3 linked regions of the Macaca mulatta genome follow. The protein of the gene in region 2 interacts with the protein of the main gene of each other region in a pairwise test. Links are inferred from orthologs where the notes say so. Each region holds a gene or a part of one and is shown on either strand. Other genes may lie near its edges.

The links.
Region 1: the proteins of ARHGEF7 (region 2) and GIT1 interact in binary tests that used the Homo sapiens proteins (3 or more experiments, as listed by UniProt). The link is inferred for Macaca mulatta from reciprocal best matches to the Homo sapiens genes ARHGEF7 and GIT1.
Region 3: the proteins of ARHGEF7 (region 2) and SH2D1A interact in binary tests that used the Homo sapiens proteins (3 or more experiments, as listed by UniProt). The link is inferred for Macaca mulatta from reciprocal best matches to the Homo sapiens genes ARHGEF7 and SH2D1A.

What each region holds. Positions count from the first base shown.
Region 1 is NC_133421.1:38,328,494-38,332,816, reverse strand, and holds the start of GIT1 (ARF GTPase-activating protein GIT1), read left to right. Parts: upstream 1-1,404; 5' UTR 1,405-1,451; exon of another isoform or gene 1,452-1,604; 5' UTR 1,605-1,683; coding exon 1,684-1,735; intron 1,736-4,323. UniProt on the Homo sapiens protein: GTPase-activating protein for ADP ribosylation factor family members, including ARF1.
Region 2 is NC_133422.1:105,476,007-105,480,325, reverse strand, and holds the start of ARHGEF7 (rho guanine nucleotide exchange factor 7), read right to left. Parts: upstream 2,850-4,319; 5' UTR 2,713-2,849; coding exon 2,548-2,712; intron 1-2,547. UniProt on the Homo sapiens protein: Acts as a RAC1 guanine nucleotide exchange factor (GEF) and can induce membrane ruffling. Functions in cell migration, attachment and cell spreading. Promotes targeting of RAC1 to focal adhesions. May function as a positive regulator of apoptosis.
Region 3 is NC_133426.1:130,790,824-130,795,103, reverse strand, and holds the start of SH2D1A (SH2 domain-containing protein 1A), read right to left. Parts: upstream 2,920-4,280; coding exon 2,783-2,919; intron 1-2,782.

The DNA of each region.
Region 1 (4,323 bases), on a different chromosome or scaffold from region 2:
ATTCTTTGGTGAGAGAGCAGCTCGGGGCGGCAGGTAGTACTCCTCCCTACATAGCAGCTAGGTATCGTTGCTTGCAAAAGCCCCACCAGCTGAGCGGCTGGCTGTCTGGGGAGGGGAGGCCTGAAAGATTTTTTTAAGGTGCAATTATAAATAAAGCCCATGGATCGCGATTTCAAACAAACTTGTCAATCCGGGCCGCAGCAAAAGGCGATGGAGGCAGCTTTGCATGTATTTCGGGTGGTGTGACTCATGAGAATTACTTGTCTCCCCTAGGGAAGGAGCCTGCCCACCCACAAGTCACTGCCGCTCTGGCACCGCTGGGATAAATCGACCAACTTGAGCACCCCTGCCAAAGGACTGCCCCCATCTGTTACCGAGCAGGAGTCTCTGACTTCGATAACCCCTCCTCAATTGTCACCACTGACCTGGCCCCCAGGTCTGGCCCTGGGGACCTCTGCCCTCTCCCCACAAGCAGAGTGCCCGGGCCTTTTGCTGCTGCAGGGATTGGGGGTTGGGTGCACGCGCGGCACACGTGTATGGGGGAGCATGCTCAGTGCGGGGGCTGTGCTCATGTGAGGCCTCCAACTAGGCTCCCTGCCCCCCAGCCCACCCACGTCCCTCACCTGCCTTGCCTTTGCCTGCCTCTTCGTGTGAAGTCCAGGAAGAAAGGCTGTCACCTGAAACGGCCCCTCTGTGTTATATGCACCCTTTCTGGACGCACACACCTCTGGTGGCCCAGAAACACCGTGTGTATAAGGCGGATGACAAGTGGATTTGAGTGCACACAGGCACAGTGGTCACTCCTTGGGAGGTCTTTAAAAACCGCCCAGATTCCTCTCTGGATGGAAGCATGCATGGAGAGATAGATATATTTTTAGTCCAGAGGCAGGGGAATACACTGCCTGACCTTTCTAGCACCTGGGCGTCCATATTGTTGGCAATGAGCGTATTCAGCAAGAGTGTGACACACGCACACACACCTGGACACACAGATGTGGACACCTACAGGACCGGGAGGCACACCTCACCCCAACCAGAGATAGAAGGGTACCCCAAGGCACAGCCCCTTTGACCTGGAGCGGGACTTGGGCCTCCAAGTCCTTCCTGCCTAATCCCCGCCCTCGCCATCCCTGGGCCCAGCGTCCCCCGGGCCACCCCACGCGGAAAGTGAAGGGGAGGGGGCTGTGAGGGTGACTCACATTGCCTCCGGGCCAGGCGAGCGCCGCAGCGGAGGCCAGGACCGCAGGCCCCGCTGCCCGCCGGGGCCGGGCATTAGCCGCGGCCCCTTTAAGCGCCCCCGCCCCCTCCCGCCCGCGCCCGGGCTTCCTTTCTCCAGGGGGCGCGGCCGGGAGCGCGCGGCGGGGCGGGGGTGCGGCCCCTCCCCTGGTGGGCAGGGCCTGCGCCGCTTCCTGCAGGAGCGGCCCGGAGCCGCGCAGGGGGCGGAGAGAGGAGTCGCGAGCGGCGGCGGGGCGGCGTGGGGCGGAGGGCGCCCGAGGGCGAGCGGGCAGGCGGGCACGGCGGGTTCCGGGCCAGCCCCGGGGCGGACGGTTGGCCGGGCGCGCGGAGCCTCGCCGGGGCCTCGCCGGAGCCGGGCCGGGCAGCAGGGGCCGCCGCCGCCGCCCGGGCCCGCCGCCCGCGCCCCCCACGCTGGCCCAGAGGGCTGCGGCCGCGTCGCCGCTGAGGATGTCCCGAAAGGGGCCGCGAGCGGAGGTGTGTGCGGACTGCAGCGCCCCGGGTAAGCGCGGCGGGGCCGGGGGCGGGACCGCACAGCCAGGCCGCCGCCGGGCGGGCGCCGGGGCCTGGCGAGAGCGCCGTGCGGGGCCGGAGGGCTGGGCTGGGCTGGGCTGGGCGGGGCGGGGGGCTGCGGCCTCCGGGCTCGGCCCCCGCCCCGGCCACTGCGGAGCCGCGTCCTTGGCGGGAGGGCTGTCCTGGGGGGCCCATGCTCCCTGGAGGCGGTGGACGAGCGAGGAAGGACGTTCCCGGCGCTGCCTCCCGCCCCTCGGTCTGAGGGAGGCGGGCAGCTGGCTGCCCCTCCACCTCCATCTCTATCCGACGGAAGCGCCAGCCTGGGGTGGCAGGAGGGCAGTGGCGGAGGCCGGCAGGGCTTGGGAGGTGGGGGCGAGTGTGGTTTTGTGTCATCTCAGTGCCACCCCCGCGTCTTGCACCTGCTGCTCGCGTGGTCGGCACGCCTGCCGGGGTGGTGGAGGGCAAGGAGCAGAGGGCCGGGCAGATGCGCCAGCGGGGCCTGGATACCGTCTCCTCAGGAGCAGATGAGCAGTGGCTACTCCCAGGACTCCCTGCCGCGGGTTCCTAAGGCTAGCGCTTTTTTGCGGGGCCTGGCGTTCAGGGCCAGTTCAGACCCGGGTGTCTTATCGGGAGGCATCACCAGGCCTGCTGGTGGTGACTGGGAACAGCTCGGCTGGACCCTGCTGTTCCTATTCACCGTAAGGCCCGCTTGGGAAAGTGAGCTTGGCATCAAGCTATCCTGGGCCCCGGCCCCTCCCTGTCCCCTAGCCCAGTCTGGCGAGAAATGGGTGGGAGGCAATGCCTAGATTCCCCGCATCCTGCTGGCTTCCTAGCCTGCCTCCTGGCTGTATTTACATGGTGGTTCTCTTCTTTTTCCTAACAGAGTCAGGACTGGGCTGGAGTGAAACCCCCCAGGCCTGCTGAGGAAGTCAGGGGTAATGATCCAAGAGTCTGCTCCCTTCTGATGGGGGAGGACAGCCAGTGACTGGGCTCTGCAGCTGGCCTGGGAAGGAAGCTCTAGCCCCCATCCATTCTTTCTTTAGAAAAGGAGCTATCTCCCTAGTAGGCCCCTGGGCAGGCTTCGGAGGTCTGTGAACTCTAGCGGGGCTGTGGGCATTATTAAGAGTGAGATTATGGGGTGCTGGTTTGTGGGTCCATAACTTTCAGCCACCCCTTGAGCAAGCCCAGGACCCCACAGGTTGAGCCTCACAGATGCTCTGGTGGTTCTGGGGGTGGTGCCAAGCTAGACGGTTTGGGAACTGTGACCCAGCAGGGCTTGGGCACAAGATACTCTCCTCCTTGGGGCTTTTGGTTTAGAGGGCCCTGGGGTTGAGGGTCCATACCCCTAAGAAACTATGACTCCCTTCCCCCAGCTGCAGGCAGGTCTGGGGATGGCAGGGCTGAGGACACACCTTGCCTTATAAATGTCTGCCCACTGTTCCGCACCTCCATGGGGTGAGCATGGCATGCATGTGGAGGAGAGGCTTAGCAGGCACCCTATCGGGGAAGCCTGGGGCATAGTGTTGCCTTTGTTCCCAGCTTACTCTGTAACCCCAAAAAGACTTTCCTCACTGTGGGGGCCTCAGTTTCCTCAATTAGGAGGCAAAGAAATTGGAGTAGAAATGGTTTCTGGGGGGGCTGTGATCTGATTCTGGGGTGGAGGGGTGAAGGGCAGCACCAGCAAGGCAGCAAGGCAGTTGTCCTTTCTCTGTTGCATTGAATGTCATCCAAAGCCTCTGGATGCCCAGTGGGCTCAGGGAGGAATGGTGGGCATCAGATGTGTTGGATTGCCCAGCTCCTACTCCTAGGTCCTCATCCGTCAGAGGAATTTGTGCCCCAGATGACTCTTTTCCCCTGATACACAATAGAGGTCAGGAAGATGGTGAGAAGGTGAGGATGGTGGGGTGGGGAGGATATGGACAGTCTTACACATCAGCCCACCTAGCACCCAGCGAAGTGTCCAGCACATGGCAGGCGCTCCCTGAGTGTCTGGCTTCTTGTCGGGACCCTGGCTGGCTGCTTGGGACTATCCCACACCTGGACCCTAGGATGCTGGCCCTGGCATGCAGCGACGTGTTTGGTCTGGGTCCTGTGGCATCTCAGGCAGAGAGGCATGAGGGTACCCAGCAGTCTGGAGTCCAGATCCAGTGCCAGCCCCATGGTGTATCGCTCCACCCCAGGGTCACAGCTTTCTTTTATTGTGATAGGAGCCCTGCAGTCCCAGCCACAGGAGTGGGGCCAGGGACTTTTTGTGCTTGGTTAATTTGAGGAGTCATGGAGGTCAGAGGTGAGATGCAGCCTGCCCCCAGAGAGCCCCATCCTCCCTCTGCTCCCGGGCCTGGGCACCCGGGACAAGTGCGAGTGTGTTGGTAGGCAACTGGACATGGCGTGGCTGCTCTGGCAGCTTGTGCCACCTCGTCAGGCACCGTGTGCATTCCTGCCTGCCTGGGGCGTCCAAGAGAGGAAGGGGGCAGGGAGCCCTGGAGAATGTGCATTTTCCCCTTTCCTTTGCCTTGGCCCACCTTGCCACATGGTCTCAGTCAAGGGCCTCTCCTCACCCCATGGGCTTCTATCTCA
Region 2 (4,319 bases):
CTCCACCCTCTTCCTAACTCTGAAACAGAACAAATGAGCGTAATGGAAGAAACACATTAGGACATGGTTTCTTAATAAAAGACATATGGGAAGCCCAAGGCACCCAGCCACGTTTCTTAGTTCTGCCCTCATCCCCAGCCTCATGGCCCATGCCAGGTTGTGAGACTGCAGAGGCGAAGGCTGCAGACCACTTGCCCTCCACTCACTGGCTGTCAGGGCACTCCTGCAGCAGAGGTCAAGTGAAGCCCCTGTCATGTCCACATGAATATTCAGTTAAGTTTCCAAATGCTTCTTTTTAAGGAAAAAACATCCTCAGACTCACATTCCCACATTTCAGTAAAAGTTATTCAGCTTGTGTGCTTCGTGGCATAAATTATCTGGTAAGCATGAAAACACCAAAAACCCAGATAATTGGCTGGGCGTGGTGGCTCACGCCTGTAATCCCAACACCTGGGGAGGCCGAGATGGGACAATCCCTTGAGGCCAGGAGTTCAAGACCAGCCTGGCCAACATACCAAGAACCCATAGAAAGAAAGGAAAGAAAGAAAGGAAAGAAAGGAAGAAAGGAAGAAAAAGAAAGGAAAAAAGAAAGGAAGGAAGGAAGGAAGGAAGACCGGCCGGCCAGATAACTCTGCCTGGGAAATGGAAAAAGCTCACAAAACTTCTGAAACGCAGGGCTCTCAGAGGCAGAGAATGGCTAATATTTTACTCCAAAAACCTACCTTTGAACTCCAGAGAACCAGTAACTGTGTCTACAATATGCTACCTTGACATTAAACTTTCATTGTGACAGAGTCAGTTTAAAACAAACCAACTACAGCTCAGGGGGAATGAAAAACAGCTTTGACCTAAGAAATTTCCAAATGACTGTAGTTTTAGAATATGTTGAGTTGTTTCAACTTGGCTTCTGCAAGCTCAACATTTTATTCGTTCTTCTCTTTGTTGTTTTAGAGATGAAATGAATGCTACCATTTTGTAGGAAAATCTTTCTATAATTTAAAAGATGATTATTTAAGTCTGCCAATCAATATTAATGCAGTTAATATGCCAAACAACGTATTCTTTGATGGCGACACGTTTTTATCAACACAGCATATGACGTTTCTTAAAACTTTGCTCTTGGAGATAGAAGAGAATTTTATTTAAGCCTATTTTGGTGAACTTTGCATGTATTTCAACACTTCTCAACATCTGTCTTTTATTACCAGAGGTACCAGTATCCAAACAGCAAAGTATTTTGAATGCCTTGAAAGTCAGATCCTGCTCCTTAGTCCTCCTGTCTTAAATCGTAATTTCACTGTGACATCAGGTTCATTTCTAAGGAACATTTTTATTTCATGGACAGGCAGGCAGCCATTCACTCTAATATGCAGATTCCGTTTTCATAAAGATGTTCCAAGTAAGAAAAATACCTAAAACTGGAACGCAAGCCAAATTCATATTAAATGTTTTCTGACCTCATTTAAAATGCAGCACCAGAATATGTGCATGTGTATGAATAAGATTAAACATTTTACTTTTTCAAGTCACTTACGTGGCATTTTGTTTATAAGTTGTCTTCCTGTATGGGGGCCAATACACCCCACTTAAAAACTGAAATCCTTCTTCCTAATTATGATACACTTCAGTTTCTACATTTCACACCTTTTAAATAACTGTTGATCTTAACGCTATATCTTGGCCACCCCCACCTCCACCCCACTCCCCGAGAAAACACCCTGAGAATAAGATGTTAGTATTTTGAGCTACAGGGAGACATGGTTTTTAGCAGCTCTCCTGGGTCCTCGGCCCTGCTGGCCGGCTTGTGGGCGATGAAAACAAACTTTAATCACTTCCAGAGATTCGGGTCAGGGTTCACACGCTCCAGCCTGGGAACCACCAGCCGGAAGGGAGAGGCAGTGCCTGCAGGACTAAAGGTTCTGTTCAGAACCAGGGAGGGACCTGAGAAGGAAATCTAGAATTTCAAACAAGCCTTGAAGAGTGCCAGGGCTTAGACCCTGTGTCCGCCGTCCTCTCGGCTCGGATAGGTGGGGAATTTTCTCGAGGGGGAAAGTAGTAGATCATTTCAGAGCGCAGCCCTCAGCTACAGATGCGTGCATCTTAAAAAACACAGAGCAACCGGTCAATTAACCTGGGAGGCGAAACTCACGCAACGCCGCCGGCAAGAACTGTCCACACAAAGCCAGCGGAGGGAGCCGCACGGCGTCGGAACGCGGCTTCCGATCAGGCTGCTGCCAAGAAGCGGGGCCGGCCCCCCACGCGGAGGGGCAACTTAGCGTTCGGGCGGCGCAGCAGCCCCGTCTCCTCGCCGCGGGGCACTCTCCTTCCCGGGGACCCCCCGCCCGCGCCGCCCCTCCCCCTGCCCCGCACACAATGGCGCCCCCCGAGCTCCCGCCACGGTCCTGGCGCCGGCCGTACCGCCGCTCCGCGTACAAAGGAGGGCGCACGGGTTCCCCGAGCGCGGCCGGCCCCAGGTGCTCCGCGCGCATCCCGGGCCGCAGCGGGCCGGACCGGGGGGCGCGGGCGGGGGCGCGGGCCGGGACTTACTTTCTCGATGGTCCCGGGGAGCAGGCGCTCCAGCAGCCTGCAGAGGACCACCCCATCCTTCAGCGACGCCTGCAGAAAGCCCTCCGGGTCCGAGATGGTTTTTTTGGGCGACTCCAGCACCCCCAGGGTGATGAGCCACGTAACGGTCTGCTCCGCGGAATTCATCGCTGCGGCCCGGGAGGCAGGCGGGGAGGGGCGCGCGCTTTCACCTCGGAGCGGCGGCCCGGCCCGCGGCCCCCACCGCCCCCGCCGCCGCCGCCTCCTCGCCCATGGAGCGGCCGGCGCCGGCGATTGGCTCGGCGCGGCCCAGCAGGTCCGGCCCGGCCCGCTCCTCCGTGCGCCCCGGCCCGCTGTCAGGCGCTTTCTCAGGAGCGGCTCGGGAACCTGCGGGCGCCCGCCGCCGCCCCCGCCGCCGCCCCCCGGCCTCGGCCGCCGTCGCCCAATGACATCACCGCCAGGAGAAGAAAGACGCGGCCGTCCGCCCGGCCCGCGCCCGGCCCGCGCCGCCCCGCGCCCTGCGCAGCCTCCGCTCCAGGCCGTGCGCGGGGCGGCGGCGGCGGCGGGGAGCGGGCGGGGAAGGGAAAGGGGAGCGGGGAGCGGGGAGCGGGTGGGGAGGGAGCCGGGGGTACCCGGGGTGGGGGGGCGGGCGCGCACCTGCGCTCACCTGCCCCGGGCCCGCCGCGCGCCCCGCGCCCCTGGCCCGGACCCCGGGAACCCTTTGTTTATGTTTTGAATTCGTGAGCGTTGAAATGATGAAGTACTTCCCAGAATGCTCTTTTTATTTTTGCCGGTTTTATTTCAAGGTGGCGGGGAGAGGCTGAAAACCAGACATTTGTTTCCCTTTGCTACCTTGCAAGCCGGTCATTACGGAACACAAATGATGGTTCCATCTGCAGCCAGATGGGTCTGAATCGGAAGGAACCGACTCTCCCGAGCGCGGCGCCGACCTCACCGGGCCGGGCAGGGGCCTGCGTGACTCCGCTCTAGACGGGCCGTGACGCTTCAGACCCCACCGGGGGAAGGTCAAGGAAACGGCGCGGCCTGAAGTGGGGCTCTGCGGAGGGCCGGGCCGGGCGCCGGGCTGCGTCTCTGGGACGCCGAAGATCTGGGCTGTGAACGCGCCACGCCGAACCTGGAGAGCCCAGACGGCAAGTGTCGCGTCATGCGCGAGCTTCCTCGAACAACTGATGACACGCACACATTGACATGCGAGGAAGAAATGGAGCCGCTTCTTAAAAGGACGCGGGCCTGCACTCACTCCATCTACTGTCCCTGGGCGCTCCCCCAGTTTGCTCGCTGTGACCCGCGGGCAGTTTAACAAGCAAAGCGCTTACTCTGTGCCAGGCACATACATTAATCCATTCAATGACAAAGGCTAGAAAGCATATAAAGCTTCCAAAAATAATCAGAGGCTTAAGTCGTCTCCCTCTGCCTTCTGCCGGTGGATTTCTCTTGCAATCACTAATTGCTTTTATTTCTAGCCTGAGTTAAGTAGTTAAAATTTTCTTTGCAAATACGCAAAATATTCAAATGCCAGTTTGAATTCTGGATTACGAGGACAATGTGCTCGGTGATAACAGCGACTGGTTAGGAACCCTCACAAAGTGCTGTCTACTGCCTCGCCTCCCACCATGGTCCCCTTTTACTGATCAGATGCCGAACAAGTGGCAGAGATGAGACCCAAAGCTGGGCTCCTACCAGGAAAGGCATACCTAACCCGTTTCCTGATGCTGCCGTACAAGCTTTCTAGGAAACAGGAGGGCAATTAACAG
Region 3 (4,280 bases), on a different chromosome or scaffold from region 2:
CAAAAGATAGAATGAGAAACCATTCTGAGTAAACCCTACATTCAATGCATGTTTGTCAGCTATACCTTGTTGTCCATGTGTACGTGACACCATTTATATTGTTATTTCGACTACATATCATAAGCATAAGTGTTTTGGTTTAAAATGAGTACATGGTTTATTTCTAAATAAAATTTGATTTTATAATTACAGTGTAGCACCAAAAAGAGGGAATGAATTTTTTACATTTGTCAAAAGGGACACTCAACTCAAAAACGTTGAGAAACTGATAAAAGGCAATGTATCCTTATATCTTCCCTCTGCAGTACATTCTGGCTATCACCCAAACAGTCTCATAAGACTTTGAGTCCCCAGTGTACCATTTGAAAGACACCGTAAGGGAACTCCCAATTTGTCTAGTATTTTCCGCTACTTCACAAGGCAGTTTTCATGGAGAACTGAGAGTCATAAAAAAAGCATTTATGCAAGATTCACTTTGGGCAAAAACTTAAATGCTTGAGAATTTCTCACCTGCCTAAGTTAATTCCTCATGTGGTTCTGGCCCACATAGGAAAAAGGCTAAAGTTGTCCTTCTCTCTTGTATATGGTACTTAAGGCAATCTTTTGCAGAAGGTAGGATACACATTACTATTCCTGTTTTATAAATATGGAAACTGAGGCCCAGAGAATTTGAGTGACTTTCCCAGGGTCCACACCCTAACCTCTCGATGTTCATTCCTTTTCTTGCAGTAAAGAATAGAATTTGCCTTAACAGTTTGTTAATTCAAAAATATCTGCTGAGTGCCTATTATGTGTTCCTGTGTTCCTGGTGATGGAGACAATGTCTCCGTCCTCATGGAGATTATATTTTTGCAGGACAGCCCAGCAATAAGTAGGTAAACAGGCAAATTATCAAATAGTTTAAAGCTCTTTGAACAAAAATAAAGAGATGGAGTGAGTGTATCAGGGACAGAGAGAGGGCACTTGTTCTAGATAGGTGGCCAAGCAAGTCCTCTCTGAGGGAGGAGGCAGTTGAACAAACATGTGAACTGAAGGTATTTTTGGCAGAAGGAACAATAAGCACAGAAATCCTAAGTGGGGGCATTTTTGAGGAGCTTGAGAAACGGCCAGGAGCCTGGTGAGGCTGAAGTCTTAGGTGTATCTTGCCTCTCACTATACCCTGTTGTCCCTCCCCTGCCCAGACTTGTTTTGTATGTTCTTTTTCACCTTTGGGTTAAGGAGCACATTATCTCCTTTGTCAGTTTCCCTAAAGCAGCGCCTTTCACCCACCCACTCACTCCACCTTCTCTCAATGAGAAAAGAGCCTAAGAATCCTAGCTGATTTTCATTGCCCTTCCCTAGGTTCCACACGGGAACATAATTATATAAGCAAAACATAAAGATTCAAGCCCAAGACATTCAATAACTTCCACGTATTTCCCTGGAAGCCTTTATGAAAAATGTATTTAGCATGACCTGAGAGCTGCCACAAACAAGGCTTGACCATTTTTGAAAACCAATATACAGTGAAAATCCTCTAGCACCAGCATCAGGATAATCTTTCTTCACTGACCCATAAGGTATTTCAAACTCTTGTGGGGTATCATCAGATGCTGAACTTACTACCAAGCATTTAACCTCATTTGGTTTCTGTCTAGAACCTACTATGCAGGGCTGCTGTTTTCATGGATTTTTTTTATCCTGCTGACAATAATGCTTGAGCTAGGTCCTTCCTTAGAAATGCCCCCATGATTCCTAAAAGAAATCAACTGAAAAGAGAAGATAAAATAACAATATATTTTTGGTATAATGACAATACCAATAGCTTACATTTATTGAACATTTACTAGGTGTCAGGCCCCAGTGCTAATTTTTTTACTGCATTATAGCACTTAATCTTACAATCCTATGAGGTAGGCAGTAATATGATACCTATTCAATGGATAAGAAAACTGGGGGACTGAGAGGTTAATTTGCCCAGGTCACAAGCCTAACATCTGACTAGCACAGGAGAAAGTCTCAGATCTGCCTGACTCCGGAGCCCTGGAGCAAAGACGCAGATGAATTTGATTCAAAATGAAGCCTTAGACTGAGACATGCCTAGGCAAATGGCAAAGCTGAATCATAACAAGGGTGTTTTCCCTCCATTCCCTTTAAGACTATTGTGAGTCCTAACGTTTATCAAGAAGGGTCCTATTTCTGAAATCCCCTGCCCCTCCCCACCCCCCACTACTTTTCTAAAGGATGCTACATCAGCAGATCCAGAGAGGTGATTTTACTCATACACATCCCCCTCCTCTCTCAGCATCTCGACTTTACTGGCATTGCATTCTTAAAGTAATTGACTCTGTTTCTTAATGTGTCTCCTCTCCCTGAATGTCATGCCCTTCCTTTGGGATGACACTTCAAAAGTCGTTTAAAGAGAGCTAGAGTAAGGCTCCCAGGGCACCACCCGATAGGGTTCAAAATAGAAGTGGGGAGCCTGGGTCTTTCCTGGAGCGAAGGTAAACTCTAGACCACATTTCAGCACCCGAAAGGGTATTCTCTGCGGCTGCCCCAAAAGGCTCTGGTGAGGGCCTTCTGGAGAGCAGGTGGCCCAGGGAATGAAATCCCCAGCGAGGGACTCAGGCGAAAGTGTGTTTCACCACGGCCCTGGGCTGGACTTGAGGGCGGACCATGGAGGCGTCGTCGGCGAGCTGCTAATGCCGGCGCCCCTGCCTGCCTCGGCCTCCACCCTGGCCCCAGCTGCCGCTGCCCACCGCCCACACCCTCAGCAGGCCCATGCCCACTGTATCATACTCACAGCACACACAGGCAGTACACTCCTGGCACGCTCTCGCTGTCCCTCAGCAAATAGCTGCCATCCAGCCCAGTGGCAAGCAGGAGCTTCTCGCCTGTTTCCCTGCTGATTTTGCCATGATACACAGCCACTGCGTCCATGACCTGGTGGACTCTTGGGCAGGCCGAGGAGGAGAACTGTACAAGGGAGATGCCACTGCTACTGCAGCCAGGCACAAGTCAACCACCTGACTCCCAGTTCAGCCAGATGTGCAAAAAAGAGAGAAGCACCCAAACAACAGGATGTTGTCTACTTGCCTTAAACCTCCTTCTCACACTTCAACTAAAACGAGCTCAGCAATTTAGTAGCTTAGTTCAATCGAGCTTGCCAAGGGCTTCCATCTCCTGCCCCCCAACACAGGGTTCATACAGAGCGGGAAGGAACATTGGAAGAAGGATTTTGCAAGATTGGGGCTGTACTGCCAACACACACCCTTGCACTCAGACAGGGATGCTTAGTAATGCTTCTGTTCTTGCAGTTTACTCAGAGGCCACCAGGAATAACTTAGCTCAACTAGCCGGTAAGGAGTTGATGATAGAGGCAAGTTGTACATGTCTCTGTCGGTATGTGGACCCATCATGTAGGGCAAAAACATACTAACAAAATGAAAGGATCAAAAGCTCTGAGAACAAAACACTGATGGTTTTATCAGTACTGTCAGTATGCAATCATTACTGAACATGGCCATGAAGACTCCCACAGAATCGGACATAGTAGATTAACAGTGAACTTTGGGCAAGTTCTTCTTCTCCCTCTTCCTTCTACCTCACGCAGTCATCTTGAAAGTCTTGGTCCTGAGTAAATATTGATTTCTTTCCTAACACCTTGTCCAAGGTCCCAAAGTGCTAGTTGAGATACAAAAGTCACAATGTACATCCAAAGATTTTCCAGATTTATCTATTTGATGGGCTTTACATGAGACTGTGAATCATTTAACTGGTGCTTTGCCTTTATATGCATTTGTATGTGCCCTTTGGTGTATAGGGCCCAACTTTCAGCATTTTGGCCATAAAATCTGTTTTGAATCATTTGCAAGTTGTTGATAATATTATTGTAACTTTTATTCTCTGTTGTTTCTAGAAAATGTTATTTCTTCAATTGATGCTAAACTGTCTTTAATATTTTAAAACCTTTCAATCTGCATTTTCTTCTCTGAAATAAAGCATTGCTTCTATTTCAAAATGTGCTAGGTAATATTTCCCCAAAACTTCCTGCATTTTCACTAGAGTAAGACTTTATTTATTGCTGAAGCTGAATGGTCTTATACATGTACCTTTAGATTATGTAAAGTACTTTTAAAATTGGAACTTAAATAGCTGAAGCTATGTCGTCTATTATATGCTTTCTGCAACTTCAGTGTGTAGTTCTTGGAGAATATGGCAAGCCTGGAAGCTCAACAGGGAGAACGACACTTAATTCCTCACGTGGCTTACCAATGGATTGGATGTACAGAGCTGACCTG